Linked DNA regions of Oreochromis niloticus. The protein of the gene in region 1 purifies or fractionates together with the protein of each later gene. This does not show direct contact. Links are inferred from orthologs where the notes say so. Each region holds a gene or a part of one and is shown in the gene's direction. Other genes may lie near its edges. The genes, in order: rnd3a and plekhg5b.

Evidence for each region.
Region 2: the proteins of rnd3a (region 1) and plekhg5b purify together in Homo sapiens (affinity purification with western blotting; 3 studies listed by BioGRID and IntAct, with this or other methods). This does not show direct contact. The link is inferred for Oreochromis niloticus from reciprocal best matches to the Homo sapiens genes RND3 and PLEKHG5.

Annotation. Positions count from the first base shown.
Region 1 is NC_031986.2:6,636,038-6,639,958, reverse strand, and holds the start of rnd3a (rho family GTPase 3a), read left to right. Parts: upstream 1-1,221; 5' UTR 1,222-1,455; coding exon 1,456-1,605; intron 1,606-1,913; coding exon 1,914-2,001; intron 2,002-3,921. UniProt on the Homo sapiens protein: Binds GTP but lacks intrinsic GTPase activity and is resistant to Rho-specific GTPase-activating proteins.
Region 2 is NC_031984.2:7,999,473-8,003,393, reverse strand, and holds the start of plekhg5b (pleckstrin homology domain-containing family G member 5), read left to right. Parts: upstream 1-1,634; 5' UTR 1,635-2,338; exon of another isoform or gene 2,339-2,423; 5' UTR 2,424-2,508; coding exon 2,509-2,590; intron 2,591-3,921. UniProt on the Homo sapiens protein: Functions as a guanine exchange factor (GEF) for RAB26 and thus regulates autophagy of synaptic vesicles in axon terminal of motoneurons. Involved in the control of neuronal cell differentiation.

The DNA of each region.
Region 1 (3,921 bases):
GGGGTTCAGCGCGTGGTTAAGCTTCTTTACACTGAAAGACGAGTGTCACTGGTACGTCCCACTTAAGGCCAAAGTGGGACGTATGTGGCCCACGATGTAAAACGAGCTTGACACCCCTGCTCTGTACCTTTAAACCTTTTTTATGTGGTTTCCTCCTCACTGATCTTGTAGCAAACGCTATAGCAACAGGGTGTTTTAAGAAAACTAAAGTAAAACAGCAATGCTGGGCTATAATTGCACATTATATTTTGTCTGTTAGAATAGTCACTGTGTCATATTAGACAATTATGGAATCATAAATCTTTATTACCCTTTGCCTTTTAGTCAGTCATGCTAAAGAAAGTAAACAGACAGTGTGTGTATCATAGACTGACTGTGACGTGTTCCTTAACTCCAGGGGCGGGGCCTATGTTCATGACAGTAACTCCATTACCATTTGTGCTGGGGACAAAAAGCCTGTATGAGACTTGGATGATAAAGGGTTAATTCCACCTAGTTACAGCAGCAGCAAGGTTATTTTGCTTTTGCTTGCCCATGTTTAGTTACACAGATAACTGAGTGATAACTCTAAGCACACCTATCTTCATGACTGCCCTACAAGGACTGATCATTTCTTGATTTGGGCTACATTTACTTGCTTTACTACATAGTCACAACTCAGCAGAAGGACTTAAGGGCTGAACTGTGGCTATAAAAATAATAACTATCTATATTTTATAGATGCATTGATGTGCTGGGTAAATATCAGCACGGGCCTTGTTGACTTGTATTTGGTATATTGGCAAATAAATAGCAAATAAACTGTTTGCATGTATCTGCTGTATTCCATCAATTTTAAAACTTTAATACAGTTTTATGCTGTTATGTTGCAGATTTCCTATTTCATAGTTTCAAGACAGGCCAGTCTTTATTTTTATCACTATTTTATAAAATCATGTTATCTAAAGGAAAGGCAACATAAATAGTTTGAATTGCCTTGTGCTGGTGCTGCTCTTCTTGTAAGTCTAAGTTTTGCGCAAAATTCTTTTTTTCAGTGCTTCACAACTATTTCACTCTAAAAATTGGCAAAGGGAAACTATAATCTGATTTACTTTACTGATTAAAAAAATCTTAGTTTGTGTTTTATTGTTTTGATGTTGAAGCTGAGGTCTGTGTGTAGTCCAAACGGGGGCGCCATCACGGTGCCTGCCCCGGCGTGCGTCTGTGTGGAGGCTCGCTGGACGAAGGGAGGGACGTGCCTCATCCCGACGGAAGGAGAGCCGCTGCCATTGGCTCCTGCGACGTTATAAATGTAGGCAAATGGAATTTACCGGCTCAGAGCAGGCGGAGACACCGGGGGAGGAGAGCAGGCGCGCAGGCTTGGAGGCACCGAGACCAGCTGCTTCTCGACGGTTCACACACACGCACACACAGGATTGGACTCATTTTTAAACTCTTTGATCCCGACTCAAATCAATGAAGGAGAGACGCCCGTGTCAGAAGTTATCTCTGAAATCCAGCATGGATCCCAGTCAGAGTGTGAAGTGTAAGATAGTGGTGGTGGGGGACAGCCAGTGCGGGAAGACTGCGCTGCTTCACGTGTTCGCCAAAGACTGCTTCCCTGAGGTGAGACCCTGCAGCCACGATGCATGTTAATAACACACACAGATACCACGACCAGCACATCTCATTGTTCTTCTGAACCTGGCTGTGTCACGTGGATTGTTCCAGTAGTGATGAAGGACATTCATGTTGTAGTGCTTGATACGTGTTGGGATGAGTTTTGGCTGAAATCCAAACGTAGTAGTACCAACACCTTTGTAGTATACGATCGTGTTAATAGGGTAATAAATCTAACGTTGCTCAGTTTCTTCAAAGTTTAAAACCTGGCAGCTTTCCTCCCTGACCTCCCCTCTTCTAAATGTTTCCCGCAGAGCTACGTCCCCACTGTGTTTGAAAACTACACAGCCAGCTTTGAGATCGACACGCAGAGGATCGAGCTCAGTTTGTGGGACACCTCAGGTAATCCTCACCTCCAACAACCTCTCTGTCTGACTCATGCTCCAAGTGTCACCTTGTGCCAGTTGTGGCGGTGGTGTGGACATGTTCTGACACGCACCTCGGTGATCAGTCACTCTCCAGTTGCTGATTTGAATGATATGGAGCTAGTTTATTATTAACTTTGTGGGGTAGAATACACCCATGTTTGACTACATCATAAATAAATAACAGGTTTTAGCCCAGAATGTCCAAATCAGAGACAGGAGAGTCCCAGGGCAGCTTTTTTTCTCAAATAATGAAATTAATCTGTGACCCATTTTAATCGATGTAGCACAGTTAATCCTTTCCCATAGTCTGGAGTCGCTGTTCCTCGAAACCGCACGTTTCCCCTCAGATTAGATCGGGGCTTACCTTTTACCTACATGGAGACGTTCAGCCTCGTAGCTCAGTTCGAGCGCAGAAACGCCTCAGTGGAATGGATCTGATTTATGAATTCCTCCCAGCTGAGCAAAGCTCAAGTGGAAACAGGAAAGGAAACATAATGATAGGCCGAACGGAGCTCATATTCATACATCTGGTGAACACACTTTGAAATTCATCCTGCTTCCTGTGCTTTTTGGGAAGGTTGAGCAACATTGGCTCAGCAGCTTTTTTTCTTTTTAATCTCCTGCGGGTTAGACTTTGTGTTTGGGGTCTGAAAACCAGCATCGTGTGTGTGTGTGTGTGTGTGTGTGTGTGTGTGTGTGTGTGTGTGTGTGTGTGAGTGAGTGAGTGAGTGAGTAAACAAACCCATTTTCCCATCGATCATTGCCTGAGCACTGAATAGCACAGCAGTGAGGTGTATGTTTCATGTGTGTGAGCATGTGGTGTTTGTGTGTGTGTGTGTGTGGGAATGAGAGGAAAATCCCTGGCCTGGAATTCCTGAGTGACGTTTGGGTAACTTGAAGATCGAGGTCAGTTTGAGATCTTTCTTTCTTCCTTTGGAAACACGCAAAACATCAGACTGGAAAATCCAACAGCAGCTTCTTAAAAGCCAGATTTCTGAGCAGTTTTATACTTCAGAGCAAATGAAAGTAAAAGCATCTGCAGAGTGGCGCTCCTTTGCCGCCTCAGTAACTCTACAAGAAAGTGAAACAAGGACATCAAATTGAAAATTCCTTCATCTCTCCAGTTTTGTGTGTAAATGTGGAAAGGCGAAGAAATGAAAACTGGCCCGAGTGAGAATTTTCTTTTATTGAATTGTGTTGGCTGCTTGCCTGGAGCCATTTTTCTTTCTCTCTGTTTCATAAAAGGAGTGTTGGGGGGTGGTTTCCTATTAGATCATTGGATTTTAGAAGGTGCCAGATACCCCTATACCAACCCACCCCCTACCTTCACTCCAAACCCACACCCAGCACACAAACACACACACAGTGACCAATTGATGCAGCTTTCAGCTTGACTGGTCCCTTTTTTTTTTTCTCCTTTTTTCTTTTGAAACCCCCATCTGCCACAGCCAATCCAATTGATCCCTTATCTCCTGAGGTGTGTGTGTGTGTGTGTGTGTGTGTGTGTGTGTGTGTGTGTGAGACCCAGGCCTGCACTCTGACAAAGACCAACACGAAGGGAGGAAGACAAACATTGTGGACTGCCACCCGCTCTTCCCCTCCCTCTCAAACACACACCTCCACACACACACCGAGGTGGTCTTTGTTCTGCAGTGATGAGTGGCCTAATGAGCAGCCTGCTGTTTATATGTGTTTGTGTTTAAATGGGACGGTGAAGGGAGTAATTCGGCCCATTAAGGTAAATTCCTGCCAGTTATACAGCCTTCCATTTGCCCCCCTCTCCCCAACCTACTTGTCTGCTCTAGCATTGCCACCCCAGTCTCAGGGTGAGGTCCGCCGGGGCCAAGGCGCGAGCCTTTGATGCTTCTTTCACCAACAGGGGAAGTGGTTTACG
Region 2 (3,921 bases), on another chromosome or scaffold:
ATTCAGTCTTTTTCTAATTCTGCTGTCATGAACATTAACATTTAACATGCTGATAAAGGCCTAAAGATTCCGAGATGTAGCGCATGGGATGTATGCAGTTTCTCTGAGCATTGCATGTTCTGACATTGTGGTGAGTTTGCTGTGATTGTCAACTGTCTTGAATATTTTTCACTTGTGAATAATGATGAGCTTCAAATTATTTGGAAATGAGTTTATAAATCCTCCCAGGTTTGATGGCAGCAACGTTGAAAATTGAAATTGACATATTTTCCCTATATTGTCTACATTTTGCACACCACCTCATTACTTTTAAAGGGAAAATATTTGGCAGTCCAGTTAAGTATAAAAATTTTAATTTTTGTTTTAATGGGACATGTGAGCTTTTTTTTTTTTTGTTCCCGTGGTGGGTTTGGCAGAGTTGGTGAGGTTCTTGATCTGGTTAAAACTTGGAACACCAACCACAAAAGTATCGAGGACACCTGCCAAAAGGCAAAGCCATGCACAAATCCTGTTTTCGTTGCTGTATTTTTCCTCACAAAAAAATCTGTGCCTCACTCTTTATGTGATGTTCATCTTCTGCCTGCAACAACAACAACAATGTAGAGACAGTGTTGTTCACATTCAATGTAAACATGCATGCAATTACAGATTCTTTAGACTGTTTGATTACATTGATTTTCACAGTAGCTAGCATGAATACTTGATGTCTGCTTAGTTTTGGTACAGTAGAACCCATTTAATAGTCTTCATCATGTCACTCGATATCTGTATTGATATTAATAGAAAATATTCACTGCTGCAATCAGCAGACTTTTTAAAAGTTTCTCTATCATATATTTAACTAGTGATTCCATAGAAGCAGTGTTTATGTCCAGGTGACCACTAAAATTAAGGATCACTGCCCTGGTGCCCCACCTCACCACCACTGTTACTGCATTAGAGTACAGTGATGCGAGTACAGTTAATCCTGCAACGCCCACTGCCATTGGAAGAGAGCATAGATAGAACCAGTGAGCAAAATGTGATGTAATACTTTACAGAAGTGCTGTGTTAATGTACTTGTAGCTACATTAAGAAATTCTCTATTACTTTCCGCTTCTATTCCACAACATTCTTATTGGAAATAATGTACTTTGTAGTCCACATCATGTATTTTAAAGCTTTGGTACTACTGATGCTGGCTTAATACAAATAAAGCTACATTTAAGTATATAAGTAAATAAAATAGTTTCCAGTTGCAAAATTAATTCGATATACACATTAAATCAATAGTGATGCAACGTACATGTGCTCCAAAAAAAATTACTTTTACCTCAGTTACTTTGGCTTATTTGAGTAGATTTTAATGCTAAACTATTACTGTGGCTTTTATTTAATAGGCTACTTGTTTTATCGTTTTGTAAAACGGTTTTTAATACATAAAGTTGTCTGAGGTCTTGTGCACCACCTTTTTTTTTTTAATAATACCATCTGTGTAAGGACACAAGGCTGCGTATGAGTCAGAAAACCTTGCCCAGTGTTGTCTACACCGACTTCATTTCCTTTGCCCCACCACCCAGTGGTGCTTTGTTTTAGGCGCACCCCTATAAAAAAAACTGGAAACGCCTCTGACAAAAACAGAAAGTTTTACAGGCACAACATTAACTGGAGGGCCCACTATAGAAAGGTGTAGCCTTTGTTGGGTTGGGATGTCCCAGGCATTTTCGTTCTCCTTTCTCCTCACCTGCCGTTTTCAAGGTGGAGCACACACCTGATGCTGTTTTGTGTTCACTGTTTACATGTGACAAGTTTACTGAAAACGTGAATGAACCTCTGTTCTGTGCTGCTGTTGTCTGCATGTGTATCTCTGGCGCCTCCAGCAGCAGCGTTGCGCCACTTGAGAGCGAGAAACTGCACTGAGTCTTTGTGGATCCAGGTTCCATGAATGAATGGACGAGAACCGGTGTCTGAACGGAGAAGGCGGCCGGAGGAGACTGCGGACAATCCAACTTCACCCGAGCGTTGTGTAAAGTTTCGTTAAGAAGGAAATCCATCCACTGAGCTGCAGCTTTAAAGGCCAGGGGAAGATTTTTCCTCGTAATCCCACTCCTGCACCGATCGAGCTTCACCAACAGACGTTGCTCGATGGACGCTGGGAGGATTTTTTTTTTTTCTTTCACGCGTCCAGACAGCAACAAGTCATTTAGAGCACAGTCCAACCTGCAGCTGTGCTTCACTAGTCGTTAGACCAGCGTTAACTTTTGTTCGTGTGCACCGAGGGATGCTTTTTGCCACTCTTTTCCGCGCATTCGCCGTGATATGAACAGCATTGTGCTCGCCGCCGAGCAGATCCTCCAGTGTGAGCACACTGCCTTTTAGAGGTCGACCGTGGGAATGAGAGGAAAATGAAAATGTGCTAATTAAACATTTTTCTGGCTGATCAGCGCTGAGCCTTCCACACCGACAGACGGACCTGCGAGGAGCTGGAGTTGGTGCGGGAGAGGATTTCGAGAAGGATTGTATGTTTAGATGGTGCCAAACAAGTGGACCATGAATTCAGTTCTGCACAAATCGCCACCAAGGAGCTGGCTTGGTCTCAGATTACGCCTGAGTAAGTAAAAATTCATGAAGTCAGCTACTGACTGATCACCATCTTAATATTCGAGCGGCTGCTCAGTCTGCAGCTGGGTAATGTTGGATAAGTCATCACCTCAGAGTGATCAGCATGCTTATTTGTGTGATTCACTGTGAGTTTGTCTTCAAAAAGTCACAAAGGAAGGGGAAGAGAGGATCTCTCATGGCTTTGATCCTCAGGCAGCAGTTCTTTGTGTCATGCTTTCCTCCAGTCATCAAAGTTAATGGCTGGATTTGGCAAGTGACCTGAGCAATTATCCCAGCTGGAGGCAGGAATATTTTAGTCAGACAGGACAGTACACTCTGATCTGAAGTTATGCACCTGATAAAGGATCTTGGGACAACTCGGTATAGGCCTACACTCAGATGATTGATATTACCTCTTGTAAATCTCCAGACAGTACAATTTACTGCAGTTTTTTTTCATGCACTCCTCCACTCTTTCCTCCTCATAATTTAGATGTGTAACGACCTTTCTAGCAGTATGAGTTTATCTAACTGTTTCTCACACTCAGGTAATCTGCAAATTAGTTTCTCGTTGAGCTTTTATTGATGGAAACCTAATAAAATGAATACTTGACTCTTCTAGCTTTGAAGACTTATCAGACTGATGTCCTTGGAATTTAGCTCTCTCTCTCGCTCTCCCTCTCCTTTATAGACTTTACATGTTCATGTACACTGTTTGCAGTTCATGGGTTCATGCAGTAAGTGAAGTATGCACGGAGTTAAAGTTTAGCAGCCTTAATTGGTTGAGTCTGGAACCCTTCAGTGTTCCAGGCCACCGGAGTCTTAAGTCTGTCTTAAACACACTGGTCTAATCTGGGGCCAGATGTCTAGTCTGGTCTCTGTCGTCCACAACAAAACAAAAACTGAAGAAATATCTCTGCTGTGTGCACTTATTCACTGCTGGGATGTCCCGAAAGATGTCAACTGTGGGAAGGACATATTAGTTTAATGCTTCGTAGTATTGCAGCCATCATGTGCTGTTCATACAAAGCTTGACTGTAAATGTAGAAGTGTGGTCTTCGCATGTCTTTATTTTCAGTCGATTGAGCCTAATTTGTTTGATTCATGTCAGACTACTATCGGTATCAGCCATATCGGTGATGTTCACTGATGTCAGAGGTCAGAGGCTGAAATTTAACTCTTCCCCCCATAAGGGCGACATCTGACGACCTCGCCTGTACCCTTAATGACGAGGTTTGACATCTGAGTATATTTAAATGAAATGTCATATGATGGCCATAAGAACAGTTTACATGTTTTTCCAAGAGTAGCTGCATGGGCAGAGACCACCCTCGCTAACTT